Linked DNA regions of Tamandua tetradactyla. The protein of the gene in region 1 binds, or shares a complex with, the protein of each later gene. Links are inferred from orthologs where the notes say so. Each region holds a gene or a part of one and is shown on either strand. Other genes may lie near its edges. The genes, in order: MEAF6, MORF4L1, MORF4L2 and KAT5.

Evidence for each region.
Region 2: MEAF6 (region 1) and MORF4L1 share a complex: the UniProt entries of both Homo sapiens proteins name them as parts of the nuA4 histone acetyltransferase complex. The link is inferred for Tamandua tetradactyla from reciprocal best matches to the Homo sapiens genes MEAF6 and MORF4L1.
Region 3: MEAF6 (region 1) and MORF4L2 share a complex: the UniProt entries of both Homo sapiens proteins name them as parts of the nuA4 histone acetyltransferase complex. The link is inferred for Tamandua tetradactyla from reciprocal best matches to the Homo sapiens genes MEAF6 and MORF4L2.
Region 4: MEAF6 (region 1) and KAT5 share a complex: the UniProt entries of both Homo sapiens proteins name them as parts of the nuA4 histone acetyltransferase complex. The link is inferred for Tamandua tetradactyla from reciprocal best matches to the Homo sapiens genes MEAF6 and KAT5.

Annotation. Positions count from the first base shown.
Region 1 is NC_135328.1:187,799,949-187,807,899, forward strand, and holds the start of MEAF6 (chromatin modification-related protein MEAF6), read left to right. Parts: upstream 1-4,939; 5' UTR 4,940-5,014; coding exon 5,015-5,104; intron 5,105-5,876; exon of another isoform or gene 5,877-6,068; coding exon of another isoform or gene 6,069-6,131; intron 6,132-6,308; coding exon 6,309-6,424; intron 6,425-7,951.
Region 2 is NC_135340.1:94,397,765-94,405,132, forward strand, and holds the start of MORF4L1 (mortality factor 4-like protein 1), read right to left. Parts: upstream 3,002-7,368; 5' UTR 2,404-3,001; coding exon 2,364-2,403; intron 1-2,363. UniProt on the Homo sapiens protein: Component of the NuA4 histone acetyltransferase (HAT) complex which is involved in transcriptional activation of select genes principally by acetylation of nucleosomal histones H4 and H2A.
Region 3 is NC_135353.1:70,023,625-70,031,634, forward strand, and holds the start of MORF4L2 (mortality factor 4-like protein 2), read right to left. Parts: upstream 3,020-8,010; 5' UTR 2,909-3,019; intron 1,981-2,908; exon of another isoform or gene 1,685-1,980; intron 1,496-1,684; exon of another isoform or gene 1,318-1,495; intron 4-1,317; 5' UTR 1-3. UniProt on the Homo sapiens protein: Component of the NuA4 histone acetyltransferase complex which is involved in transcriptional activation of select genes principally by acetylation of nucleosomal histone H4 and H2A.
Region 4 is NC_135335.1:8,814,758-8,821,989, forward strand, and holds the start of KAT5 (histone acetyltransferase KAT5), read right to left. Parts: upstream 3,004-7,232; 5' UTR 2,955-3,003; coding exon 2,881-2,954; intron 1-2,880. UniProt on the Homo sapiens protein: Catalytic subunit of the NuA4 histone acetyltransferase complex, a multiprotein complex involved in transcriptional activation of select genes principally by acetylation of nucleosomal histones H2A and H4.

The DNA.
Region 1 (7,951 bases):
AATGGAATGATATTGGACATAAAGGAAGAAGCTAATATTTACATAATCCTTATTACTTGCTAAGCCCTTTATATATATTAAGTGATTTACTCCTTACAGCAACTGTTTTGGGTAGGTATAATTATTAGCTCCCTTTTACAGAAGAGAGAAGTTGAGGAAGTGAAATTTGGTTACTTGCTCAAGGTGGCATCGTTTATGAAGGACAGGGGTAAGATTTTGAGTCAGGTAGGTTTTTTTGTTTTTTTTTAATTTTTTTAATTTTTAAAAAAATATAACAACAAACGCAAACATTCTTAACTTAAGATCATTCCGTTCTACATATATAATCAGTAATTCACTATATCATCACATAGTTGCATATTCATCATCATGATCATTTCTTAGAACATTTGCCTTAATTCAGAAAAAGAAATAAAAAGACAGGAAAAAAATCATACATACCATACCCCTTACCCCTCCCTTTAATTGATCACTTGCATTTCAATCTAAATTTATTTTAACATTTGTTCCCCCTATTATTTATTTTTATTCCATATGTTTTACTCATCTGTTGATAAGGTAGATAAAAGGAGCATCAGACACAAGGTTTTCACAATCACACAGTCACATTGCGAAGCTGTATCATACAATCATCTTCAAGAAACATGGGTACTGGAACACAGCTCTACATTTTCAGGCAGTTCCCTCCAGCCTCTCCATTACATCTTTTTTTTTTTTATTAATTAAAAAAAATTTTTTAATGCCAAAAAATACCAAACAAATGCAAACATTCTTAACTTTTGATCATTCCATTCTACATATATAATCAGTAATTCACAATATCATCACATAGTTGCATACTCATCATCATGACCATTTCTTGGAATCTCTATTACATCTTGACTAACAAGGTGATATCTATTTAATGCATAAGAATAATCTTCAGGATAATCTCTCGACTCTGTTTGGAATCTCTCAGCCATTGACACTTTATTTTGTCTCATTTCACTCTTCCCCCTTTGGTCGCGAAGGTTTTCTCAATCCCTTGATGCTGAGTCTCAGCTCATTCTAGGATTTCTGTCCCACGTTGCCAGGAAGGTCCACACCCCTGGGAGTCATGTCCCACATAGACAGGAGGAGGGCAGTGAGTTGGCTTGTTATATTGGCTGGAGAGAGAGGCCACATCTGAGCAAAAAAAGAGGTTCTCTTGGGGGGGACTCTTTGTCCTAATTTTAAGTAGGCTTGACCTATCCTTTGTGGGGTTTAGTTTCATAGGAACAACCCCCAAGACTGGGGGCTCAGCCTATAGCTTTGGTTGTCCCCATTGCTTGTGAGAATATCAAGAATTCAACTTGGGGAAGTTGAATTTTCCCCCTTTCTCACTATTCCCCAAAGGGGACTTTGCAGATACTTTTTTATTCACTGTTCAAATCACTCTGGGATTTATTGGGGCATCGTTCTGGACAAACCAACAAAATCTCGTGCCCTACTCAAGGTTCCATGTGCTTATCGTGTTCAATTAAGCTATCTACATAAGTTACATTAGGAAATGCACTAGTCAAAATATAAATTTTGCACCAAATAAACATTTTTTGCTTTAGTCTCATACATAAGTTAAAAATTTTAAATATTAATTACCATCTATTTTCAGCACCCTGCAGTAATGACATTCCTTTGTTCTTCCTCATGCAAAAACATTTTTAAATTTGTACATTTAGTCACTATCATTATACACTCTAGGCATTCCTAGATTATACCATCTCAGTATTTTTTTTAATTTTATTTTTTTAAATACCAAAAGACACCAAACAAACGCAAATATTCCCACTCTGATCGCTCCACACACACAGTCGGCAATCCACAATATCATCACCATCTCAGTCTTTATTGTCTATCTTTCTTTCTGATTTCATTTGTTGAGCCAGGTAGTTATGATTTCAGTTTGTACTCTTAACCAGACACGTACTTGTCTGTCTAAGGCCTTATAACCATGGTAGCAACATCAAATTTGTTTTTGGAAGACCACCCCAGCACCATTATGGATAATGGGTTAAAAGAAGTCTGAAAGCGGAAATAAAGAGGCTGTTGGAATAAAGTAGTCAAAATAGGGCAACAACAACTTGGCAGATGAACTCACTGATCTCCCTGCTATGTGAGATATGACTTCCAGGGGCCTAAATCTCCCCGGCAACGTGGGACATAACTCCTGGGGATGAACTGTGACTGGCATCATGGGATTGAGAAAACCTTGACCAAAACAGGGAAGACAGAAATGAGACAAAACAGTTTCAGCGGCTGAGGGATTTCAAACAGGGTTTAGAGTTTATCCTGGAGGTTATTCTTACACAACATATAGATACTGTTTTTAGTTTATGGTGTATTGGAGTGGCTAGAGGGAAGTACCTGAAACTCTTGAACTGTATTCCAGTAGCCTTGATTCTTTTTTTTTCCCTCTTTTTTGGATTTTAAAAAAGGAGTTTGTTAAGTTGCAAGTTTACAATTCTAAGCTGTGAAAATGTCCAAACTAAGGCATCCAGGGAAAGATACTCTGATTCAAGAAAGGCCAATGGGTCCAGAACACCTCTGTCAGCTGGGAAGGCACATGGCAATGTCCGCTAGCTTTGTCTCCTGTCTTCTCATTTCATAAGGCTTCCCTGGGTATGTTCTCCTTCTGCTCCAAAGGTCTGTGGTTGTGTGGGCTGTCTCAGCTCTAAGGCTTTTTCCAAACTTTTTTTTCCCTTTTCTTTTTTTAACAACTCTTCACACACATACATTCCATACATGGTGTACAATCAATGGCTCACAATATCATCACATAGTTGTGTATTCATCACCATGATCATTTTTTTTAGAACATTTACATCATTTCAGAAAAACATATAAAAAGAAAAAACTCATACATACCATACTCCTCACCCCTCCCTCACTGACCACTAGTATTTCCATCTACTCAATTTATTTTACCCTTTGTCCACATCCCCATTATTTATTTATTTTTATCCATATATATTTTTTCACTCATCTGTCCATACCCTGAATAAAAGGAGTATCAGACACAGGTTTTCACAATCACAGCATTACATTGTAAAATTTGTATCTTTATACATTTGTCTTCAAGAATCAAGGCTACTGGAACACAGCTCAACAGTTTCAGGTAGTTCCCTGCAGCCACTCCAATACATCATAAAGTAAAAAGGGATAACTATATAATGCATAAAAATAACCTTCAGGGTAACCTCTTGAGTCTGTTTAAAATCTCTCAGCCACTGGCACTTTGTTTCATTTCTCTTTTCCCCTTTTGGTCAAGAATGTTTTCTCAATCACTTGATGCCAGCCAGGGAGATTTATACCCCTGCAAGTCATGTCCCATGGGGGATGGAGGGCAGTGAGTTCACCTGCTGAGCTGGCTTAGAGAGAGAGGCCACATTTGAGCAACAAAAGAGGTTCTCTGGGAGGTGACTCTTAGGCCTAATTTTAAGTAAGCTTAGCCGATCCTTTGCTGGAATAAGTTTCATGGGGGCAAACCCCCAAATCAAGGGCTCAGCCTATTGATTTGGTTGTCCCCACTGCTTACACAGAAGTTGAAGTTTTAAAATATGTAGGATGTCATCCTTACCCTGTGTTCTGATCTACCTTAGTCCTATCTAGATCAGCTTCATTCACCTCTCTACTCAAAGTCTGATTACTTTTTCAACTTTTTAAACAGTTCCTATACGGGGTACTGCTGACTTTCATAGCTTCATAGCTCTAACTCTTTGAGTCGCAGGTGTCACATAAATACCTGAAGTTTCTGGGAACAACCAGGTTACAAACAAACAGCTCAGGATCTCAGAATTTAGAAATAGCTGTTACAACTCCTGAATATATGTGACTACTGCAAGAGCTTACAATCTGGGACCCTTTACAATAGGCCCCAACCTGATAACCTATGTTCTTGACTTTAGTTCACCAAGTTTTTATATTATAGTCCATATGACTGAGACATAATATTTGTCTTTTTGTTCCTGACATTTCATTAAATATCATACACCTAGTTGCATGCCTCACAAGTCATTACAGCAGCCTTGATTCTTGAAGACAAATGTATAACTGTATAGCTTTCACAATGTGACTGTGTGATTGTGAAAACCTTGTGGCTGACACTCCCTTTATCCAAGGTACGGACAGATGAATTAAAAACAAACAAACAAAAAAAACAGGGTAGTGGCAGAGTTCTGGCCTGTCATGACGGAGACCCGGGTTCGTTTTCCGGTGTCTTCCCTTGTAAAAATAAATAAATAAATAAATAAATAAATAAATAAATAAATACACAAAATAATAAATAATAGGGGGTGGGAAAGGAGTAAAAAAATTGGGGTAGATTGCAAACTAGTGCTGAATGAGAGGGAGGGGTAAAGGATATGGAATGTATGGAGTTTTTATTTTGACTTTCTTTTTTCTGGAATGATGCAAATGTTCCAAAAATGATCATGGTATTGAATACACAAATATGTGATGATATCGTCATACCAAATTGTATACTTGGGATGGACTGTGTGGTGCCTGAAGGTATCTCAATAAAATATTTTTTAAAAATAGGGCAAGAAGGAAAGCAGCAGAGGGGATGGACAGAAGCAAACAGTTTAAGAGCTCTTCTGGAGTTGCGTCCACAGGGCTTGGAAATGGGATTAGGTTAAAGGGGTGAGGGAGAGTGAGGGTGATCCCAGGTTTTTGATTTAGGCAACTGGGAAGGATAATGAAAATTATTCACCGAAGAAGAGACTGCGGAAGTTTAAGGAAGAGCCTGTTTGGGGGCATGGTGAGTTTGTGATATCTGCAAAGGCCAGCCGTCAATCTAGGAGCAGAACACCAGACGAGTGGGATTCTCTCAGCAGGGCCAGCGAGAACCAAATGCCAGAACGCGGCTGGACGAGCGGCTCCGGAAGCCGCGCGCGCAGGCGCAGGGCGGCGGCGGGGCGCCCCCTCGCGGACCCGCGACAGCGCGCAGGGACCGCCCCTAGCTTCGCGCCGCCGCCGCCGCCCGCCTTAGCCCAACATGGCGATGCACAACAAGGCGGCGCCTCCTCAGATCCCCGACACCCGGCGGGAGCTGGCCGAGCTCGTGAAACGGAAGCAGGAGCTGGCGGTGAGCGTCGGGGGCCGGGGGCGCCCAGGTCGGGGCTCCGCTCCAACCCCCTCCCCCGGGCGCCAGCCCGGCGGCGTCTGGCCGTTACTCCGGGGGCGCAGCGGCGGGCTGGGACGCCGGCGGCCTGAGACCCGGCTGCCATTCCGTGGCCCGCGGCCGCCTCTGCTTTCCGGTTGTTCGGGTTCGGAGCTGGGACCCGGGGCCGGGCCTCGGGCCGGGGGGCGGGGCGCGGGAGCCGGGGAGAAGGAGGGGTTGGAGAAAGGAGGGGCGTGGAGGAAGGAAGGCGCCTTTGGGGAGGGGGCGGGCTGTGTGTGGGCGCTGTAGAAAGGGCGAGTGTGTGTGAGCCTGGGGAGTGGGGACGGGCGTGTCCGTGGCCCTTGGGGGTGGGTGAGGGCGGACGTGTACGCGATCTTGGAGGGGTGAAGGTAGGCGGGCGTGTCCATGGGCTGTGTGTGTGGGGGGGCGGGGGGCTCAGATTTGCCCCTGGATTTTGGGGAGGTGGGGTACGAGGAGGGTGTGGGAAGGGGATACTGTCTGACCTTTGGAGGATGGTCGGGGGTTCTGTCCTTTTGGGGACTAGGAGTAGATTCGTTGGATGGGGTATTGCACATCTAGAAGGTGACAGGCGAGGGGAGAGGACTCGGTCTATGGAGCTGGCAGTTGTGACGTGCACCCAGGGTCCTGTGCACCTTGGAGACTGACTGCTCTCCCCTCCCGTGTTTTGGTTTGGGCGTCCGGGAGGCCCGTATCACCTGAACCTATCCTTCCAAGTTTCCATAGCAACTGGCAGCCCAATGCTGGCAGCCTTTCTGAGTCAACCTGGAGGGAAGCGAGTAGGCTCAGGAAGACTGCCCACTCTTCCCTCTCCCTGGTGGCGAGACCTTTTGTGCGTGGTAGTGAAGGCTGCCCACGTTCTGCTTCAGCCCGGGTCCATGAACCTTCTGAAATATATGCGGATTTTTACATGTGTATGCGTTTTTTACTGAGGACTGACTCTACATTCTCAAGGGGTCGTTATGTCCAAAAGGTCAAGACTGCCCTCATCCTGAAAAGCCTGCCCCTCTCCATTATCATCAGTCTCTCCACAAGGGTGGTTTAGTGTGCTTGAGCACAGATCTTTGTCTCATATCCAGATTTCAGTTTGGGCAGACTTAATGTTTGCATTTAACAGGCATTATCCGTGTCCATGTTTTTCATCTCCCAGGAAACATTGGCAAACCTGGAGAGACAGATCTATGCTTTTGAAGGGAGCTACCTGGAAGACACTCAGATGTATGGCAATATTATTCGCGGCTGGGATCGATATCTGACCAACCAAAAGTGAGTGTCAGAAGCCTGTCGTGTTCTGCGGTGTTCTCTACTAATATTTGTTTTTAGAACTATATGTTTCTTTGGTACAACTTTATAGCGAGGCAGTAAAATGGTGGCAATAGAAAGAGGTTTGGGCTTGAATTGGACTCTGGCTCAACCACTCACTCCTTGAGTACCTTGGGCACATCCTACATTCATGGAATAGGGGCAAGGTGGAGGTATCACACAGGGTTGTGAGAGGTTTAAATGAAATACAGTATATGAAAATACCTTATACGAAAACACTGCGTTAGTGTTTTCCACATTTTAATCAGTCATGAGTTTTACCCTCACGATTTTTGCCATACCTGTGAGTCAATTATACCACTATTTATTTAATAATATTCTTTAAGACTTTCCAAAATGTTCAAATCAGTAAAAAAATTAAAGGACTAGTATATGAACACTAGATACTTATCTACATTCACCAATAGTGACGTGTTGCCACATTTGCTTTCTCTTTTCTAATACATATAAAGATGTATATATCTATACTTTTAAAAATGTATGTATTTTATTTTGAAATAATCACAGTCACAGGAACTTGCAAAAATAGTAGAGAGAGGTTCTGTGTACCCTTCACCAAGTTTTCACCAATGGTTGTGTTTTAAATAACTGTTGTAAAGTGTCAAACCAGTAAATTGACATTTGTACACATTTGTGTGTATAGTTCTATGCCATTTTATCACATATGTAGATTCATGTAACTACCAAAACAACTGAGATACAGAACTATTCTGTGACCGCAAAGATCTCCCTCAGGCTACCCCTTTATAGTCGTACCTCCCTCTCCTCCCAGTGCTTTTTTTTTTTTTTTTTTTTTTTGCTAAACCTTTTGAAAGTTAGATGCAGATGTCCTGACACTTTGCCTCTAAATATATCAGCATGTATCTCCTAAGAATAAGAACATTTCTCCTACCTAACCACAGTTATCACACTTAGAGAGTTGACATTGCAATAGTAGCATCATCTAATATACTTTTCAAATTTCCCCAGTTGTCAAAGAGAAAAAAAAAAGCCTTGCTGATTTGTTTTGTTTGATCCAGGATCCAGTCTGTGTTTGTGCATTGCATCTGTTTGTTGTGTCTTTTTAGTCTCTTTTAATTTAGGAGAGTCTCCCATCCTTTTTTTTTGTTGTTGTTGTTGTTGTTTATCACATAGTGTTGTAGAATGTACCACATTCCAGGTTTTTCTTTTTGTAGTCTCATAAAACTCATAAAGAGGATACATATTTTTGGAAAAAATCCTACATAAATGATGTTGCATACCCCTTGTTATATACCCATTTTTATATCAGGAGGCACATATAATCATATTGTCCCACTCTTGGTGCTGCTAAATTTCATTTCTCAGTTGTAAAAGTTCATTTTTTTTCTGTTTGTAATTAACAAGTAATTTGGAGGGTTATACTTTTAGGTAGTGTGAATATACTACTTCCTCCATACTTTTATTCAATGGTTTTAGTGTTCATGGTTGATTTTATCTTAGTTGTTATAC
Region 2 (7,368 bases), on another chromosome or scaffold:
TAAAGGAATCATAAACAGCAAAAAATGCTATCTCCTCATTTTGTTATTTCATATCCCTATCATTATATACTCTTCTATCGTGTTTCAAGATGATTCTTCTCGCATTAACAGAATATTCCTTTCCTCCTTACAAAAGATTCTGAATGTATTTTATAAATACCTGTAATTTACTAAAGATGGCTAGAGAATTCAGTATTCATACGAAAGTAGAAAACACACACGGAAAACGATGTTAAGAGATTCTTGCAAACCTTTCAAAAATTTACCCCTACCTTGCTTCCTCAAACCACTATGGATAGCAGCACATGGACTCTCATTTACTTCTACCCACCTCACTCTACATCTCTCTAGTTCAGAACTAAATAAAACACTTCCTCCAGGAAGCCATGAGTAAAATGGTTTCAGATGCCAGTGATTTTCCTGCTTTGATATCCTATATTAGGGATTAATTTTTTGTATCATGGACCCTTGACAGCCTGTTAAAGCCTATGGGCCTCCTCTTAGAATGTTCTGAAATACAAATAAAACCAACTGTAACTGAAATAGTAGTTGTCAAAACATTGAAGTACAATTTCCTATGGTATTACACATGCTCCTTAGTTAAGATTTAACTGCTGATGCAATAACTATCATTTTGAGGTAATGAAGAGCATTCAGTAACCACAATGTCGATATGGAAATAACTGATTTTTGCTGGCGACAATCACAGTACTGCTAATATTACTGTGGACTGTTTTTATTTGGCTTACAATCATAACTGAAACACAGAATTTCGTCCAAGTTCACCGGACCCTTTGAATTCTGTCTAATGACCCTACATTAAGGATCCCTGGTCTAAAGCACCTAGTAAGATAATGAAGCCACAGGACGTACGATAAAGTCGCAATCTCTCCAAGTGGGACACAGGAGGTATTAAGTATTTTCTGGGTGTACATGTTACTAAAATTAAAAAAAAACCAAAACGAACTGCACAACACAGTGACGGCTAAGTTAAACCACGGACTACAGTCAATAGTACAATTATAAAAATGTGCTTTCATCAATGATAACAAACGTTATCTTGCATCTTAAGCATCATTTTTCTGTAAACCCACACTTTTTAACAACAAAAAATGACAGCACGGTCACAGAGTCTTTTAAAAGCAATTTAAAAAGAACCATTATCCAGAATACCTTTGGAAACCCCTTAAATACTCCATAAAAACATAATACCCTTGGATTTTGGCTACATGACTCCAAAAGTAATTCGAACGCATACCGATGTGAGAACATTCCTGAAACAAAAGTTTTATACAGGGCGTATGGACATCCGCATTTATGAAAACTGGCCGGCGTGAAAGCGTTCCTTTCGGCTAGAGGATTTACTTCCTCCTCGCGCGTGGAGGCCCCATCTTCCACGAGCACCCACTGCTAACGCCAGCCGAAACATCTGACCCAGAGGCAACTAATAAAAGCCAATTGAGCTCTCAAATCACTCTTCGTCATATTCTAATTGCAGTTAGCCTAACATCCGGGCAACAGGACTTCGAAATGGAGACACGAGCCACTGCTTTTTTCTTTCCTTTTCACGAGGAGCCGCACAGCAGGAAGCGCGCACTCCTCACGGAAACCTCGGCGCTCCGCTCTCGGAGCGCAAGACCAGAGGCCTTCAGGCAGCCCGAGGCCGGCGGCACCGCTCCCGGCTGTCTTTTTCGTCCCACCCGCCTTTCGGAGGTAAACGCGCGGTCGCGACGAGGGGGGCGCTGCATCCGCCCCGAAGCTACGTCTGCCGCCCGAGGCCGCGACGCCGGCAGCCCCGGCGGGGCCGCCATCTTGCGGCGGCCATTTTACAACGCAGTTCTCCCGCCCTGGGGCGCTCACCCACCCCCGCGGCGCACCCGGGCGTCTACACCGCACGCGGCCACCCGGGAGCTGCAGGCGGCCCTCGACCGCTAGAAGCCGGCCGTCGGCGAGGCCGGGCGACCCCGCCCCGGCGCCCGAAACAGCCGCCGCTGCCTCCCCTCCCCCCGCGCCACATCACTTCCCCTACCCGCCGCCATGGCGTCCCAGTCGCCTCCCTACAATAGGCTGCGTTCTCCGCGCCCCCTTCTTCAGAACAATAACAAACACTCGGCCGAGGTCCGCCACGCGCAAGACGCTCCCTCTGCAGTTCTCACCGCCTGCCTAGCGCTGCCGCTTCCCACGGCGTTTTCTCCCCATGACGCAGTGAGACTCCCCTCCGCAATGCGCTGTCCCCACAAAGCGCCACCCGCCGCCCTCTCGGGGCGCAGCCCACGCCGCCCCCGGCCCCCAGACCTCACCCACCCCGAGCCCGCCTCCCCCGCCTGCGCCGCTGAGTGCCTCTCTCCCGCGTCCGGACTCACCCTCCTGGAATTTAGGCTTCGGGTCCTGCTTCGGCGCCATTTATAAGTGATTCGCCGCCGCCTCCTCCTTCTCCCACCACCCCCGACTACCGCCCCCTACTCTCTACCCCACCCAACTCAGCGTCAGCCGCGCCGTCAGGCTCTGCCAACTCTACATCCCGCGCCCGATTTGCCAGCGCCCGCAGACGTCACAGCCCCGCGACCCGCGCAGCCTCAGTTCCAGCCGTCGGTTGCCCGCCGCGCAGGCGCCCTTCCGTCCGCGCCGCCCCGGGGCACGCCGGGAACGGTAGTTCCAAAATGGGGACGCCGCGGGGCGGGGGAGGGGTCAGGGCTGCCGGTGAGCCCGCTTTCCGTGGCAGGTCCCCAGTCGGGGGTGCGTAGGAAAGCTTTGGGGGCTGCAGTCTGGCCGGAAGGCGGTGGGAGATAGGGTCCCCGACCGGAAGCTTCGTGCGGCGGCCAACTCCCTCCCAAACTGCTTGGTGGTCGGTTGTCTCCTGCGCCGACCCTCCTTCTCCGGCCTCGGCCCTGCGGCCGGGAGGGTGGAGCTGCGGTCGAAGCGGGACGCGGTCTGGGGGTGGAGCTCGGCCGCTGGAGGGCAGAGGACCGCCCGTGGGAAGGCACCGGTGGTGTGCACAGACGGCAGCGACGCCGGCCGGAGGCTTTTGTCGCGGGCTGAGCTGGTCTCGTGGATGCGCGCACGGTCGCCGCGAACGGCCTTCCCAGGTCCTCGTCCCGCCACCCTGACCGCAAAGTCCTCGGTTTGCTCTGCTGCCAAATGGGGCTGGTAGCCCCTTCCTGGGGTGTACTGTGAGGACTTCGTGTTAAAGGCTTAGCGTGGTGTCTTAACGGGCTGAAAGCTCAACCAACGTGAACCCGAGGATTAATCCCTCCGCCTGGGCTTTGCACGCGTCTGCAGCCCCCACCCGCCCTCCCACGCTCCTCCGTCCACCCTGGTCTCCGTGGCTTCTCCAAGCCCCTCTCCGTCTGTCTGACTCCTGTTTCTCCTCCAAGCCCCCTCTCCTACACGACCTTTGTTCTATCACAGAAACCCACAAGTAACCCGAGCTCTTTATTCCAGCTGATTACGGATCATCTTGTCTCTACAACTCCTTTGGCACAACTGTGCTATTAACCACACGAAGAAAGGGGCCAGGGCCTCTGTGACTCCCTCCCCCCACAAAACTACTCCATATGCATTTTTCAAATTTTTGAATACGTAATCCTTAAAAATCTTGTTTTAATTAAATATTATAAAAACAGAGATAGTGGAAAGTCTCCTTGTCATTTCTGTTCTAGTTCCCCTGGGAACAAAAGTCGCCTATGTATCCGTGCCGTTTCTTTATCCTAGCATTTTGTCTATTATTTACATTAAAGTTAAAATAGTTTTTACCTTTACGTTTTAGTGACACAAGCAATACTTGAGTGTGTGGGTTGTATCTGATGCAGCAACTCAGAAGTTCAGCATGCAGGGCAAAACTCAAGGAACTCCTTTGATTTCCCCCATTTGCCTTTGTACTGCTTGGTATGTATATCTTTTTCAGCCCTTTCCTATGTTTTTTTTTTCTTACCATGAATGGGCTGTTCATGTGTTCTGTGTCTTCTTTTTTAACTTAATGATATGGCCTAGTGATCATTCCAGTCACATACCCATCTAAGTCACATTTTTAATAGTTCATGACATATTATAAATATACCAGAATTAATCTCGCTTGTGTAGCTGGACAATTAGGCTAATTCCATCTTTTCACTATTAGAGACCTATATGTTTGAGCCTCCATCTTTATGCACATTTCTTTTCTTTTTCTTTTTTTTTTTTTTTTAGGTTCCCTGCATATAGAATATCTAAGTCAGAGTGTGGGCATTTTAAACTGCCCTATGATAGGCTTCACCAATTTACATTTCAACCAGTAATTTGAGAAAGGGCTTATTTTCCCACATCCTTGCCAAACATGGTATTATCGATCTCTAGAAGTTTGTTTTACTATGTCGGTAAGTCATGTTGCATGTGCTGGTTTGAAAGGATGTGCATCCCCTAGAAAAGCGAAGTTTTAATCCTAATCCCATTTTGTAAAGGCAGCTGTTTCTTCTAATCCCTACTGAATACTATGTGTTTGAAACTGTAATCAGATTGTCTCCTTGGAGCTGTGATTTAATCAAGAGTGGTTGTTAAGCTGGGTTAGGTGACGACATGTCTCCATCTATTTGAGTGGGTCTTGATAAATTTCTGGAGTCCTATGAAAGAGGAAACATTTTGGAGAATGAAGTGATTCAAAGACAATAGAGCAGGACGACATAGCCACGAGAAGCAGAGTCCACCAGCCAGCGACCTTTGGAGACGAAGAAGGAAAATGCCTCCCGGGGAGCTTTATGAAACAGGAAGCCAGGAGAAGAAGCTAGCAGATGACTCTGTGTTCACCACGTGCCCTTCCAGCCGAGAGAGAAACTCTGACTGTGTTCACCACGTGCCTTCTCACTTGAGAGAGAAACTGTGAACTTCATCAGCCTCCTTGAACCAAAGTTATCTTTCCCTGGATGCCTTAGATTGGACATTTCAATAGACTTGCTTAATTCAGAAGCTTAATTTTCTCGGCCTTAGAACTGTAAACTTGCAACTTATTAAATTCTCCTTTTAAAAGCCATTCCGTTTCTGGTATATTGCATTCTGGCAGCCAGCAAACTACAACATTGTGCAAAAAAAACCAGACACTTTCTCAATGGTGATCAGAATCAGAGAAGTGGTTAACTGAAATGGAAGGGGAGTTTAACTGGGAAAGGGGGACAGGGAACTTTTGAGGTGCTGGAAATATTTTATAACTTGATCTGGTATAGTTATATGAATGCTTCCTTAGGTAAAAATTCATCAAGCCATACATTTACAATTAATTCATATCACCATATCTGCATTATTCCTCAATAAAAGCATCTTAAATCACTTTTTTCTTTTAACTATGAAAAATTCAAACAGGAAAATGGAATAATAATATATGCCATCTAAATTCAACAATTGTGAACATCTTCCCATCTATGTGTGTGCGTGTGTGTACACATCATGATTTCTTGAAGCCTGACTTCTTCAGTATGCATTTCCGAAATATAAAGGCATTCTTGTACATGCCGCAGTGCCATTATTACATACAAAACAATTAACAGTAATGCCCTAAAATCATACAGTACTCCATACTAAAATTTCCACTATTATCCCTAAAATATTTTCATATTTGTTTTTTCAAAACAGGATCCATTAAATGACATTTGGTTGTTAAATCCCCTACATCTTTTTACAACTAGGCCAAAGATTCTTAACCGGAGTCTATGAATGCAATTCAAAAGGTGAGTAGGAAAATTCAAAGGTTGAATAGGAAAAAATTTACTTCTTTATTGACTCTAGTTGAAATATAGCATTTCCCTTCATTAAAAATGAAGGTAACAACTACATTAGCATTAGCAGCACCCTGGACTTTGTCGCCAGTAGAAATTGCAGATATTTTTATATCATGTTAAAGTTCTTGCAGATATTTAAAATATATTTACATTCATCACTACTTTGAAATTACTGGAATTATTAGGCATGCCACTAGATGTTGTCATTTAATTCATTAATATTGAGGCATAAACACCAGCATATCGCATTCTAAAAATATTTTGATAACTGTACTTCAATGTAATATTTTACCTTCTATACACCTATGTGGGCTTTTTTTCTTTCTGCATTTAAAAACAGATTTCTAAGAAAGAGTACATTGGCATTAGCAGACTGCCAGGGGTCAGTCTCTCTAAATGACACATCTTCATTAGGATTAGCATTGGGATTAGTATTAGCATTAGTATTAGAATTAGTATTTGTTCATGACATTGGCTATTTTAATATCTGACATTCTGGATTTGCCTGATTATTTACTCACGGTCAGTAATGTTTACCTTACCTTTTTTTCTTCTTTCCTGTTCCTATAAACTTAAAGTGAGATCTAAAGTGTTGATTAGATTCAAGCTGAAAGTTTTTGACGAGAGTATGTTATAGGTGATGCTACCCACTTTTCATTCCGTGGCATCAGCAGGCACATAATGTCTGGATGTCTCACTTTTAGGGATGCTAAGTTTGATCACTGGGTTGAGAAGCTTAAAGCCTCTTTGGTTTTGCATAATCAAATGACATTTAATTTTATGGAAATGTTTAAACATGTACAAAAGTTGAGGGTATAATACGGTGAATCCTGCTCCTTCTATCACTCAGCTTCTGTGTTATCAACACACAGCCCATCTTGTTTCATTCTTACCCCTCATCCCTCCTCTCCTTGCCGCAGCCCCAGCAATACATGCACACAAATCCCAGCTGCCATATCTATTTAATTCATAAATAACTTAGTATGTCTCTCTAAAATACAAGTATCCCTTTTTAACACAATACCATTATTAAATTTAAAAATTAATAATTCCTTGGGGTGCACAGGTGGTTCAGTGGCAGAATACCATCTTCCATGCGGGAGACCCAGGTTCGATTCCTGGACCATGCAGCCCCCACCCCACCCCCCAAAAAAAACTTATTAAAAAATAAAGAATTCCTTAATATCTTCATGTGGGCAGTCAGCACCCAGCTGTCCCCAAGTGTTTCATCCATGCTTTTTTTAATGATCGGCTGGTTCAAATCAGGATCCATACGAGGGCCACACATTGCATACACGTGAGATGTCATGGTCTGTGTTTCTTTTATTTGCTACTTATTAGTTAAGAAAGCAGACCACAGAGAACTAGCACACTTTCTTAGATGCTGCATTTATGAATTCAGTGAACTTAAAATCTTCAAATATGAGTTCCATGGAAGAATAAAATGTGTTTTATTTGGTATATGTTTGACAATATTCTTTTAGCGCAAATAGTAATGAAACATCAACCAACAGTAAGAAGAAAACATCCCCTGAGATGAAGCTCATTTTCATGTGTCATTTCTGAAGGAGCTGTGAGGCTGACGTCCTCCTGACCTGAACTTGGGTCGCAATCCAAACAAACC
Region 3 (8,010 bases), on another chromosome or scaffold:
GACCTAGAAGATCAAACAAGGGGACAGGAAAGGATACAAAACAAAAAGATATGAGATGATGGAGTTCTTCTCCATCAACCAATGAATTTTATCTCACACAAAGGACACCAAAGATGATAAATAATGTATCAGTGTTTCTTTTTGCTTCCTTGTGGTTACATTTTCAAATTTACTTTATTGAGCATCTTTGCTCTAGTTGTTTGATATAGTAATTTTTAAAAGTCTTCTATTAAGGAAAATTTCAAATGGATACAAATTTAGAGGGACCAGTACTATAAACCCACATGAATCCATCATCCAGCTTCAACAATTACCAGCTGAAGGCCATCTTGTTTCATCTATAACCCCACCCACCAGCCTCCCCCCATTTTTTCCTAAGCTCACGGAATAGTTGACTTTTTTATATTATGGAAAATTCCAAAAACATACCAAAGTAGAATAATATAAAGAATCCCAAAGGCTCATCACTCAGCTTAAACTATTAATTCAGGGCAAATCTGTTTCATCTATACCCCTGCCCACTTCCTTCTGCTTAGATTATGTTGAAGCAAATCCTAGTCATCAACATAAAGGCATATTATTTAATCTACAACTATTTTAGTATATATCTGTATAGATATAAATAATTTAAAAAACATAACCACATTCCCATTACAACGCCTAAAATATCGCTATCAATTTCTTAAAAAAGCCATCAAATATTGGATCCGTGTTCAATTTCTCCCTATGTATCTATTACAGTTGGGGTGTTCGAATCAGGATTCAAACAAGGTCTACTCATTGCATGTGGTTGATTTCCAGCTTTCGTTCTCCGTCTCTTTTTAACTTTTCAATATGGAAAATCTCCACCTCCACTATTGTAAAGCAGATCTCAGGTAGCATATTATTTTAATGGTAGAGATGATATGTTTCTTATGATCTACTAATTCATCAGAAGAAGTTGATGGGCAGGTAAGGCAGTATAATAAGCAAATCTGCATAATTTATGCTCTATTTTCTCATTCTATTACGTGGGAATTTAATCTCCATAATAATGGCTAATATCCTTAGGAGCCAGGCTTCGTATTAAGTGCCTTATATGTACTATTATATTTAACCCTCAATACACATCTCCGAGGTAGATACGATTATTATCACCATTTTACAAACATGGAAACCTAGACACAGAAAGAACATGATCTTTGCCCAAGCTGGGCGTTGGCGAGTAGGGATTTAAACCCAACGCTATATGATTGTAAAGCCATTAGGTAATCCTATCTATATACATGAAAATAAAGGGAAATAATCGACCCTTCTTCCCCACCCCCACCCCGAAACCTGAAACGCGAATCCAGCTCTTCCCAGCAGCCGACGTGTGATCACCGCCGTTCCTCCAACCGCCATACTAAAGCCAGGTTTCTCTGGCAACTGATATCCATAGGCAGACACGTCACCCTGGAGGCGGGCTTACATCCTTCAGCCAATCAAATTCGTCTTTTCTAAGTTTTAGAATGTTCTATAACCAAACGATTGGACGAAGACCACCACGTCAGCAATGACACTTCGCCGCAGTAAAGGGGGGTGCTAGCAACCGCTTCTTCACGGTTAAGGTCTGAAGGAAACCAATCATCTTTCTCGTTTAGTGCGCGCTGCAGCCAATCATGCCCGCCCTCTTAGGTTCTTAGCCCACCTTCCAAAAAGGCGACAGCCGTTGGGTCATAAGTCTATAGGACAGGATGTTCACGTGGCCTATTTTCACAACCCAGAGTTCCCCCGATCAGAAGGTTGCTTTTTTTTTTTCCTGCAGGGAAGGATTATGGGTTCCTCCCACCCCCCACTGGGAAAGGAAGTGTCTACGTGGCCTGCGGAAACGGATGGGCGGAAATGAGCTAAGGTTCCTGCAGGTGGGGAAGCAGTTGGTCCAGTTTGGGGCCACGCCCCCGAACCTCTTGCGCAACGATCTGAGCAAAAAGAAAAAAAAGGCCGCTGGAGTTTTTTTATGTGCGTGTGAGTGAGGATGGTGGGTGTCGCGGGCGCGTGACGTTGGGGTCGGTGGGTGTACGCGGACTAACTCGCGTGGCCTTGCGTTGGGCTGTGTGTGTGCGCAGACGCTCATGGCGCTGGCAGATAAGCGTGCGCCCTAAGCACTGGGGCCGGCTTCTGTTTTTGGACGAGTGTGCGCGCGCGTTTGTGTGCGAGCACGCGCGTCTGTCCCTAAACAAGCGATGTGTGTGTGTTTCTTATAGGTGAGCTGTTCTTTTATACTGTTGAATTAGATGGGCGTGTGGGTGCTTATTATATAAGCATTATTATAGTATCATTATTATATACCATTATTATAGTGGTCATTCTCTACTGTGGTATATGTTTGAAAATTATTGTAATGAAAAAGGAAATAACCAATTAAGTCAAGCAGCGAAACAGAAAAAAGGGCCTTTGTTATATATATCAGTATTTCGGTATGCCCCATCAATTCAATTTTAGACTCTAATACACTTTCTTCACACGTTTTTCTCAGTATCAAAATCCTGTTCTAAACTATAGCCCTCCAATGGTTAAAAGGCAAACCTTCATTGGTATACAGTTTCGGTTTGGGGAGATGGCAAAGTTTTGGTAACAGATCGTGGTGAATGTGATTAGCAACACTAAATCATTTATTTGAATGTTGTGAAAGGGGAAATTTAAGGTTGTATATACGTTACCAGGAAAAAAAAAAAAACGCCAAACCTTTCCATTCCCAAATTAGCAATTCTAAGGGGGCAGCTTCTTTCATTTATCCAGTATCCTTTACTCTTGTTCCCGCCCCGCCCAGAAAGTTACGTGCCATTCTGTTGGCACAAATACAATTTTCTGTGGGGAATAACTACATACGACAGCCTGCCCTTCCACTATGGACTCTGAATTTCTGTGGGGGCTGAGGTTCTCTTACCTTTTTGTCGATCTCCAACAACAGTGCTGTTCAGGCGAGTTCACGTTCAGTTAATTTTCCAGAAAGTTCTCTGGATGAGGTTTATACATTTAGATGCTGCCACTAGATGCCGCCAAATCCCAGCAAAGGATTGGCTGTTTTGAGCCCTGGAATTATGGGATTTCCACCTCCTCTGCCCCCACCCCCATGCCCCCCACCCGCAACCTCGGTGGGATTTGTTGAACTCGTCAATCTATGGTGATGGTATATAGTTTTCATTTCTAGGGAACAATTAAAATTAAGTCAACCTTTATTGGCTCAAGATTCACATGCTTTTCCTTGTTTCCTTTTTTTACCGTCCCTTTTTAATTTTTCCCCCTCCATCCCTCTCTTTTATTCCTTTCCTTCTTTTGTCAGAGTTTATAAATGACCTCAGGCACTGGTGTTGATGAACAACCTATCCCTTTCTCTTCACCTTTTCCCCCACATTCTCACAACTCCCGCCCTCCAAAGGAAAAATACAGATGGCTGTTTAGTCAGTAAAGATAGATAACAACTCTGAGATAAAACTTGGACTTTGGTATTGAACACTGATCTTCCTTTCCTCTTGAAAAATTTTTCAGATTTATGTGTTATGTGTTTGTACCCCATTTTTAGTAGTGCTGCTGCTAAAATGTATTGTGTCTTTCGAATTAGAGATCTAGCTTTGAAACCTATTTCATGACTTATTAGCCCTGTGACACTGGACAAACAATGTATGTTCCATGATCCTCACTTTTTGTATGCTTTCTAAGGTTTAGATTCTATGTTCAAATGGATAGTCTCATTTATTCCTCATAAAATCCTTATTAGGTGGTGCTACAAAAAACAATCAAACAAGAAAATCATACCTCTTCAGCTATCAATCATATAAACATACATATATATGTGTGTGTGTATATATACCCACATACACATATATACGTGTATTTGTTTATGTAAAAGGGGAAGGTTAAAACACTGGTTCTCAAAGTGTTTTCTGGACCAGCAGTGTCAGCATCTCCTGAGAAGTTGTTAAAATTCAGATTCATGGGCCCTGCCTCAAACCTACTGAATGAAAAATTATTGGATTGGGATTTGGCAGTGTGTGCTATTACAAGCTGTGTTCTGATGCACACTAAAGTTTGAGAACCACTGCTTTAGAGGGCAGAAATGCAATGCTTATTTTTGTTTGTACCACTAGAGGGTGGTATGGAATATAAAGCAAAATAATAAGTGATGTCAATGTATTGTTAGGGCCCCCTGCATACTATCAATACCATTTTACAGATTAGGAACTAATGTGTAGAGATGTCAAATTATTTTCCCAAGTACACATGACAAGTATGGGAACCAGAATTTGAATTCTACCTGCCTCACAAGCTCAAGCCCTTAACAGTACTCTGTTTGACCGTTTGTAGCTTGGCTTTCTGGGCCTTGAAATGTGTTACAGATACCTTGTTCCTGCTTTGGCTTACTAGAGGGTCAAGAAGAGGGCAGGAACTCAAACAAGGTAAATGGAAATGTTTTGATGATTTTAACTCTCCCTCTCTTCTTCATTTTACAATAGGAAATCACACAAAAGTTTGAGTGTTTCTCTTCTTGTTGTTATAGTTCTCAAAATACTCTTCCTACCCTGTAGCTAGCTTTTTTTAGTTTAGATCTGTGTTGCAGATGATGAAAGTGAGTTAGAGACCGTAAGTATTTTTCTTATGGTCATACAATTTGTAAATAGTGAAATCCAGATAATCACAGGTATATGTGACCCTGCTACTCCGCTAAACTTTCTACTCCCAGGTTTTGAATCTGGTTTTGTTACTTAATATTTAAGTGACCTTCAACAAATTCTTTCATTTTTCTGAGCCTCAGTTTCACCATATGTTACAGGAGAACAAATATTCCTGCATATAATCTTGTAGCTCGACTATCCACTATGGTAGCCACTAGCCACAGGTGGCTATTTAAAAGACATAAAATTTAAAACTCAGTTCCTTAATTGCATTAGCTGCATTTCAAGGGCTTTATAGCTACTTATGTCCAGCTACTGGTGATAGTGTTAGTGTAGATACAGAATATTACCCTCATCACAGAAAATTCTACTGGGCAGCGTTGAGTTAGAGGCCTAGTATGGCACATGTCTCATGATAGGTACCCAAGAAAAATGATTTCCTCTGCTCTTTCCTCTCAGAGTCAGTGCTTGGGGTGTTCTGTGTTATTGGTGGGTCAGAAGAGAGGAGTAACTTACCCAAGGTACTGTGTCAGGGATGTGTCTCACACTGAGACTCACATCTCCTGACTCTATTCCAGTATTCTGTCTAGCAGACCTATCCTTATGCTTTACTCTGCTTACTGAAGTTGCAAGCCCAAGAGTGGGAATAATGTTAATGAACTTTGGAGTCAGGGTGATAGCAGGAACTGAATACCTCCTAAAGTGCCAAGCTCTTTATCTTTGTTATCTTCATGAATCCTCACTGTAGCCCAGAGAACTTAAATACTTACCCAAAGTTGCTCAGCTAGTAAATGGCAGAGTGAGGATTCAGATTTCTAACTCCAAGACCCATGCTTGTCCCATTAAGTCATGCTACCCTCTCAAATATGAATACTCTCCTGCCTCCTTTACTTACTAGTGGGGCAGAGCTTCAGCAGATTCCTGACTCTTATCAGGTCCCCAGAAAATGTTAGTCTTCCTTTTGAATTTATACCTGATTTGCTGTCTTTATTATCTGTTGCAACTGAAAGGGAAAAGATAGCTTTGATCAGTGTTTGTTTGGCTCCAGTGCCCAAGGCCAGACAGATTATGGTCTCAGCCTTCACAGGGCTTCTAGAAACTGCAAGAATCCTGTGTTTATCATCAAGGTCTCCATTAGCTCATACAGTACCTTTGTGCTAATTAGAAACGTGCCACCTGGGAACAAATTTCAGAAAAGTGTCCACTCCAGTGGAATAATTAGAAAAAAATGTTTCTCTCTCTCTCTGAGATGTTACAGCCTCCATCAGGGTAGTTAAAGCATGAATTTCAGCCCCCACTTCTGCCCTCTCAGTTGGGCACCCTTGTTCAAGGTGCAACCTACCCAACAGTGTCTGCTGGCATTGCTTGTCTTGTCTAGTGGCTAAGAGATCCTTACTAGATTTGAAAAGTAGTGGTCTGTCTGCTCTGAGGGGCTGGGAAGGACACCCTGTGGTTTCTGGGTAGGAATGGAAATTGGTCCATTCTAAGGGTAATTTGATTTTTGTTTTCATTTGGTTTTGTCTGATTTATGGAATGATTTTTAAAAGAATATTTGCTTAACATATGTGCTAAAAGGAAAACCTAATATTCAAGGCTAAGTAAAATGCTATATCTTTAATAAGGATATTTTTCTGTTTATCTGTTTATACCTGCCTCATTCCAAAGAGATTTCATGAAACCAATTCAGCAAATTAGTCTGGATCCATCTAGTTCATTAGCCTTTGACAGCCAGAGCAGAAGATGAAGTTAGACATTGGAAAGCTTTATCATTTTAGGGGTTTTATTCTCTTCTAGCTACTCTCTCCTGTAGATGAAATCCCCCCCCCCGTTCTTTTGGCAAAAAGAGGTTACTTCAAATGGAAGAAAACACTAAGATCTCTACTTGAACCTAATCATTGTTGTTCTTGGGTGGCCTTGGGATTCCAGACTTACACATTAATCTCTTGGTTTTCCCTTCCTGAGTCACAAAACCTAAGTTTGTGGTTTTGAGAACCACAGGCTTCACTTGGAATAATTGTTTGAAATCATCCATGTTGTGCATAACTAGCAGAGATGAGAACTAATTCCCACCAGTGAGTGCTGACTCCTACAATATGTGCATTGCCTCATGAGGATTCCTGGAACCATTTTGTCAGTGATACATTTGTTTATGCTTATAACTTTCACCTACAGTCCCCATTCCACTGTGAATGATAAAAGGTATGTGTTTTGAAAAGATCAGCTGTCATATTATTAAAAGAGAACAAACTACTGCTACTTAAAGTACTGCCTCTAAATTGTTGAAGCTTAATGATGGGAACATGATAGCTCATTATACCATTCTTTCTACCTCTGTGTATTTTTGTAGCTTAGTATTTTTGAAGGTTACCAAATTAAATTTTTTTTAAAGGGCTTGATCTGTTCTATGGAAGAGAACATATAGGTTTCTCTTTAGGGGAGTCCTTCCTAACCATAGGGTGGGTAGAACACACACTTCTCTGGTAGTGATATATCACATGAAAATCTGGAGAGGTAGATTATTTTAGATTGAAAAAGTCTCTTTCTCAGAAATTTTGGTAAGTTCTCCTAGAAGGAGAATCTCTTCCCTCCTGCAGCCCCCCTCTACCAGACCCCTCGGAGGGTCTGGTAGACCCTCTGACTACCAATGACTTTCAATGACAATGCCACAAAGAAGCACTGCTCTAATGTGGCATTGTCATTGAAAAATAGTATATCCATTGGGTGTTTGAGAGTAGGAAGAGGTTGAAAATCATGGAAGCCAATCTTGGCTAACTGATGAAAAACTGTTCACCAGCAGGCAAGAAACCCAGGCAAAGGGAATTTGGGGGCAAGAGACAGAATTAGGAGCATTAAAGGACTTCATTCTCACTCCAGGTGAGTGCTGGAGAGGGCAGAGCTACTAAGAAAGGAGGATAGCAAAGAGCAGAATATGTGGCAAAGAGGTCCTCAGTCAGGGCCTCAAAGGATATTTTTTGAAGGCTCCAGGCCCCATATATATGATTTGCAGGTTTTAAAAGTGAGCAGATAGACCCTCTAAAGGCAAATTCATGACACACACACACACACACACACACACACACACACACACACACACACGTTCAGGGACCTGAAATCTGACTGCTCAGCTTGGAAAGGCAGACTCCATAAGGTACCCATTGAAAACTGTATAGGTTTGTTCTTTTTGTTGTTGTTGTGTTTTACTGTGTGACTGAACAGATGAGGATATCCATATACTGCTAGGAGTGACAAGATATGGTTGGAGAGGTGGGGCACTACTCAGGGTCTTTGGAGGACATTCTCTTTCAAGATCTTGAGGTTAAGGTAAAACGATTAGAAACTGGGGACAGAGAATAGAGCAAGGGCAATTCCTCAAAAG
Region 4 (7,232 bases), on another chromosome or scaffold:
TCCGGCGGGGGCGTGCAGTGTCTGAGCGGACCTAGGGGGTCTAGAGAGGGGGCGGCAGCTATTCCCGGCTGGAGAAGTGGGTGGGACTCAAACTGGGAAGGGCCTTGCATGCCGGGCCAAATATGTGGCCTTCGTCCCTTAGAGATGAGGACTTACAAAGATGTCTAGATTTGTTCTTTTGCATATTAGGTTTCTGATTTTAGAGAGTGATGTGTGGATTATTCATTCATATACTCCAAAAATATATGGCGAGTCCCTTCCATGTGTCAGGCACTATTCGAAGAGTCTGGAGTACATCAGCGAACAAAATAGACCCCTGCCCTGATGGAGCTTACATTTTTTGCGATAGAAATAGTAAATACTAAACACAGTGAAAAAATAAATCGTTTAGGATATTAAAGAGTGATAACTGATGGAAAACAAAAAAGAAATCGAGCAATGTAAGTTTTAAAGTTTAGTTGCAATTTTAGAGTGCTTTGGGCAGGTGGCTTACAATGTATTATTTGAGCCAAGATTTTAAGGGGTGAGGGAATGAGCCATGCACATATCTGAGGGGAAAATATTCCAAAACACAGACCACAGTAAGGGAGTAGAAAGCCCAAACTCACATCATCACGGGGCAATGGACACCGTGAACATTTTGACTCTCCGGTAAAGCAAAGGTGGATAAATGGTGGCCACCAGCCCGAATCCAACCCACTGCTTGCTTTCCTACAGCCTATGAGCTAAGAAGGATTTTAATTTTTTTAAATATTGGGGAAAAAAAACAAAAGAACTTTTGTGGCTCATGAACATTGTGTGAAATTGCATGAATTATATGAAATTCAGAATTCAGGGTCCATAAAGTATTATCGGAACATAGCCACTTTCATCGTTCATATATTGTCTTTGATTCTCTTCACTCTAAAACTGAGTACAAGGCCCACAAAACCTAAAATATTTATTGTCTGGCCTTTTACAGAAACCATTAGTCAACCCCTGCTTTATTTTCTGATCAACACAAAAATAGTTTCTTCTTGTGTGCACTCTGCTGTTATCAGCTTGTTCACTTAGCAGTGTAAACTTGAAGCCTTGTGAGGTATCTGAAGCACTATTTTAATGGCTTTTCAGTGTTTTGTTGTCTTAGATGCCTCTTAGCTGTCATAGCCAGTTTCGTGTTGTGTCCAATTTCTCCTATTGCAAACGATCCCACAAAGATGATCCTTATGCCAGTTGTTCACATGTTCATCCCACCAGGGTTTGCTTTGAAGTTGTATTTGGGGAAAGACTGCATCTGTGCTGAGATCACCTGGTGGCGGTGTCCCAGAATTGGGGCAGTCAGAACAGAAAGGGAGACCGAAAGGAAGGCAGTTGAAATTGGTCATTCACTGATGCAGACAATGTTTATTGAGAGTCTGCCACGAATCAACTTCAGGCAGATTTCAGCCCTGCCTCTTGGCCAAGGTCATTCGTGACAGCCCCTCCCATCCACACGTCTAATCTAATGGCCGCTTCTCAGTGGCATTTGGTACCATTGGCCATTCCCTCTTCCTTGAAACACCCTTTTCTTGGCGTCTGGGCTACGACACTCTTCTGGTTTCCTTCCTCCTTCCTCTGCCACTCCTCATCTCCGTTGCTGGGTCCTCTTCCTGGACTTTTATCTACACTTGCTCCCTTCTTGATCCCCTCCAGGCTCATGGCTTTCAGTATTATTCACTTGCTGAGGTTTCTCACATTTATATCTTCAGCCCAGACCTCTCCCGTGATCTCCAGACTCAGTGCGCACTCACCATCTCCACTTGGATGTCTGAAGGGCGTGTCCAAAACCAAACCCTTGATTTTCATTCCCAACCTGCTTGTCCCACCATCTCTCTTGTCCGTGTCAGTCACGAATCCATCCTTCCATGTGCTCAGACCAAACACCTTAAAGTCATCCCTGATTTCTCTGCTTGGTTTGCAGTCAACCCATCAGCACATCCTCTCACTGCTTTCACCATTATCACCCAGATGCACCCAGGACTACTGCAATAGCCTCATACGCAGGAGAGGAGGGAACTTTAAAAATATAATTGACACCACGTCCCTTTGATGATCCAAACCCACCCGTGGTTTCCCGCTTATTCAGAGTAAAATTCAGAGTCCTTGCACAAATTCATCTCCCCCCACACACACAAGTTACCACTCTGACCTCATCTTTCCCCACCGTCACCCACTCCAGCCACACCGGCCTCCTTGCTGTTTCTGGGGCACAGGAAGCGCCTACCTCCCCCATTGCCTTTGCTGTTTCCTCTGCCTGCAACATTTTCTCTCCATTTGTCTACGGGGCTCACACCCTCACATCATACAAGTCCTTGCTCAAGAGTCACTGTGGGGTGCATGGATGGCTCAGCGTAGAATGCTCACCTTCTATGCAGGAAACCCAGGTTCGATTCCTGGGCCATGCACCAAAAAAAAAAAAAAAAAAAAAAAAAAAAAAAAAGGCACTGTGGTGGTTCAGAGCTGTAAGTACCAGAAAAGCATGTTCTCAAACTGAATCCATTCCTGTGGTGCAAACCCATTGTAAGTAACATCTTTGGGGGAGGTGACTTCAGTGAAAGCGTGGCCCAGCTCGATCAGAATGGGTCTTAATCCTATCTATATCTTACAAGCAGAATGAAATTCAGACATTAAAAGAGAAAGCCAGAGGAAGTAAGAAGCTAGAACTCACCAGAAGCTAAAAGAGAACTGAGATGGTGGGTGTTCGAGTTTACTAGCTGCCGGAATGCAATATACCAGAAACGGAATGGCTCTTTAAAAGGGGAACTTAGTAAGTTGCTTGTTTACAGTTCTAAGGCCAAGAAAATGTCTCAATTAAAACAAGTCTATAGAAATGTCCAATTTAAGGCATCCGGAGAAAGATACCTTGGTTCAAGAAGGCCGACGACGTTCAACGTTTCTCTCTCAGCTGGAAGGGCACATGGCGAACATGGCGGCATCTGCTGGCTTTCTCGTGGCTCTACCAAAAAGGGACTCTCTCCAAAATGTTTCCTCTTTTAAGGGATTCCAGCAAGCAACTCCACCTTCAGTGGGTGGAGACACACCTCCATGGAAATCATCTAATCAAAGGTTACCACCCACAAATGGGTGGGTCACATCTTCATGGAAACAATCAAAATGCTCCCACCCAGCAATATTGAATGAGGATCAAAGGGCATGGCTTTTCTGGGGTCCACCACGGATTCAGACCAGCACACTAGGAGAGGACGCCACAGGCATTTTCACGTGACAGAGAAGCCCAGCACCGTGGATCTCCAGCAGCCAGCCCCAGAATGCCACAGGCTTCTGGGAGAAACCATTGCCCTGATGATGCCTTGATTTGGACTTTTTCTTAACCTCAAAACTATGAGCTGTTGAAATGCCATTGTTTAAGCCAGCCCTTTGCATGGTATTTGCTTAAGCAGCTCCGGAAACCAAAACGGCCCCCTTTCCAATGAGGTCTTCTTTCACATCCCCAGCTAAACCTGTCCCCACGCTCCCCTCCACCCTGTATTCCTCATCCACTTCATTTTTTTTTTCAGAGCATTTATCCCCAGCTATCAAATCATACATTTTCCTTATTCATTTGGTTTGTCTTTCCCACTCTGGGATGAAGGCAGTGTTTCTATTGTTTTGTCCTCCACTATTTTCCCAGCTTCTAGAATAGTGTCACACTCACAGGAGGCATCCAGCTAAAACTTGTCAAATGGATGAAGCACCTGACATTGAAGAAGAGCCAGGGATGTGAACTGACATTTATGGCAGACAGGAGTTAATCCTGTAAGGTGGGCAACCCGGGGCTCAGGAGAGATGCTGATCCAGGTGGCATATAGGGAGGGGTCTTGGAGCTTCCAATGCCTGACCTAAGGCTTAGAGGATGGGTGGTTGTTAGCTATAGAAAGGGGTTGGGGGCTGTATCAGGTAGAGTTCTCTAGAGAAACAGAATCAGCAGGAGATAGATATAAAATTTATAAAATGTCTCATGTAACTATGGGAATGTAAAGTCTAAGGTTGCAAGCTGGCAACTCCAATGAGGTCCTCAACGAACTCTCAGGAAAGCCTGGCTGGACAACCATGGAAGTGTAAGAGTCCAAGGTCCATGGGGCAGGTTGTGAAGCTGGTGGCTCCAATGAAGGGTCTGGACAAATTCCACAGGAGAGGCTCACTGGCTGAAGCAGGAAGGAAGAGTGACTGTCTCTTCTGAATCCCCCTTAAAAGCCTTCCGGTGATTAGATTAAGCACCCTCATTTCAAAAGGCGCTCATCTTAGCTGATTATAAATGCAATCAACTATGGGTGCAGCCAATGTGATCATGATTTAAGTCCACAAAATGTTCTCATAGCAACAGACAGGCCAGCGCTTGCCCTACCAGACAGCCGGGCACCACCACATGGCCAAGTTAACACATGAATATTGGTTTTGGGCACCAATATTAATCGAGCACCAACTGTGTGCCACACCCTGGGACAGCAACATGAGTGAAAACAGATGAGGTGCCTGCTTTATTGGGACAGACATAAACAATTCAATAAAACAAAACAAAAATGATCGTTTGCAAAAAGTGCTGTGAAATGATAAAACAGAATGTCAGAGAGGGTGGGGCTGCCAGTGCAGGTCTCTAGGTCTCTGGGACAGCTGTCTGTCAAAATTGCTCCCCCTGCAAGTAGCACAAAGCCCCATTCAAGCTGGACTAATCAGGGACTGTCTTGTCCCATGAAGCCCAAAGGCACAATGAAGCTTTAGGAAGGGTGTCATCCCCGGACTCAACAGTGTCACCAGCAACTCAGGTTTCTTTATGTCTTCCCACTCCCAACTCCTTGGGGTTGCCTTTCTTCCACATTAAGGCCGACTCCCCTTTACAGTTGCAAGATTGCAGCCCACAGCTCCAAGGCCACCCACCTGTGTCCATGGTCATGTCCAGTGAGAAATCTCTTTCCCAGCTATGGCAGGAAAGTCCTGAACTCCCCTTGGGTTGAACCATCTTAGGGAATTTGCCAATGTCTCAGCCAGTTTCTGTGATCAAGGGCCTAGGGCTACCCTGACTGGCTTTGACTCGCATAGCTGGGGTGGGTCAGTCACATCAACACAGTAGCTGCTGGATGGGGGAGAGTGGAGTGGCTGTTAGGAGGCAGCCAGGATGTCCCTTGAAGGAGAACATGTGACCTGAGTTCTTAATGATGAAAAGGGACAGCATTAGAAGATCTGGGGAAGGTGAGATCCCACTGGGAAGGAATGGCCAGTGCAGAAGCCAGGGAGGGTGGGGGTAGTTCATTTATTCCAAGAACGAGAGAAGCGAATGTGAATAGGGAGACAGTCCCAGAGGATAATCCAGAGGTCTGAGAGTTCACAGGGCCCTTTGTGGCACTTGTATCAAAGCCATGTTTTGCTTTAAAGGCAGTGGGAGCCATTGGGGAATTCGGAGCAAAGGAATGGTGTTATCTGATTCAAGTTTTAGAAAGGTGAGCTGAGTGAATAAGGATTATTGGGGACACGGCTCAATCGAGTGGAGACCTGAGTCTAACTAGAAAGTTTTTGCAGCTGTGGAGGCAAGGGCTGAAGGGGGCAGGAGCTTGAGGAATGACAAAATGTGGTGAGAGAAAGATAGGGATCTTGGCCTGTTGGGGGCTAGCAGTTCTCCATCTAGACCCAAGATCTCTGGGAGTCTCAGTTACTTTGGAAGGAGAATCTTTATTCTAATAAATCACAGTCCCTTTATGGAAAAACTGAACACAGCCTTGTATTTTGCAAATGATGTGAGGTGGTTGAGCTTGCTAGATTCAAAGTGGGGATGTCCAGAAGGTTGTGGGGCCGAGAGCCTGAGCTGGGCAGAGGGCCCACAGGGAAGGCTTGGATCTGGGGATCCCCTGCACAGATGGCAGAAAGGCCTGGAAAATGCCTGCTGGAGTGGACAGCGGGGTGTTCTTCACAGAGCCCAGAGAGGAGTTCCTTGCAGACATGGGGACAGGAAGAAGCCAGAGTGTGAGGGAGGCAAGGAAATGGAAGCAGCACAAAGAGACACCTCTTAAGAGAAATTTGAATGAGAAGTGGAAGGAAAATGTAAACAAAACAAAAAAACTAACAGCTATATACTCAAAAAAAGAAAGCAATTGGAGACTTCCGGAGAAGATGGCGGCTTAGTAAGACGCGCGGATCTTAGTTTCTCCTCCAGGACAGCTACTAGGGGAGTAGAAGCGATACAGAACAGCTCCCAAAGCCACGACAGAGATAAAAAAGACAGCGTACCCCATCCTGGAACGGCTGGCTGGCTAAGAGAACCCGCTCTGGTGAGATCGCCGAGGGGCGCGGGCTTCACCGGGCGGCAAGCGGCCAGAGTCACTCCCTGCCCCCTCCCCGGGTCGGCTGGGAGAATTGGACAGGCGGTCCCCTCAAACCGCGGCGGCTGGCGCCCACATCACGTGCGGACCCCCGGACCAACTGAGAGAATTGGATCGGAAATCCCCAGGCCGCGGAGAACGGCGACGGGGGGGGGGGCCCTTCCAAACCCGTGACTCCCCGGGAACGTGCACTCTCCCGGGCGGGCCGCTGCCACTGGCGCCCTCCCGCCAAGCTTGGCACCCTGGGCCGACTAGGAAATTCGGACGGGCGCTTTCCCAGGCGGCGGCGGCCAGCAACCCTCCCCGCGTTCGGACCCCGGGCCAGCTGGCACTCTTCCAAGCCGCTTCGGCTGGCGAACCTCCCGGACGGCGAGAGTTTTCCAAAGTTAAAGGACCCACAGCAACTTTTACTGGTGGGACCCGCAGACAAACGTGTGCCACGAGTGCCACCTACTGGGCAGGATAAGAAAAACAGAACCCAGAGATTTCACAGAAAAATCTTACAACCTTGTTGGGTCCGACACCCAGGGAAATCTGACTAAATGCCCAGATGCCAGCAGCAGAAGATAACTGTCCACGCTCAGAAGATTGAGAATATGACCCAGTCAAAGGAACAAACCAATAGTTCAAATGAGATACAAGAGCTGAGACAACTAATGCTGAATATACGAACAGAAATGGAAAACCTCTTCAAAAATGAAATCGATAAATTGAGGGAGGACATGAAGAGGACATGGGCTGAACATAAAGAAGAAATAGAAAAACTGAAAAAACAAATCACAGAACTTATGGAAGTGAAGGATAAAGTAGAAAAGATAGAAAAAACAATGGATACCTACAATGATAGATTTAAAGAGACAGAAAATAGAATTAGTGATTTGGAGGATGGAACATCTGAATTCC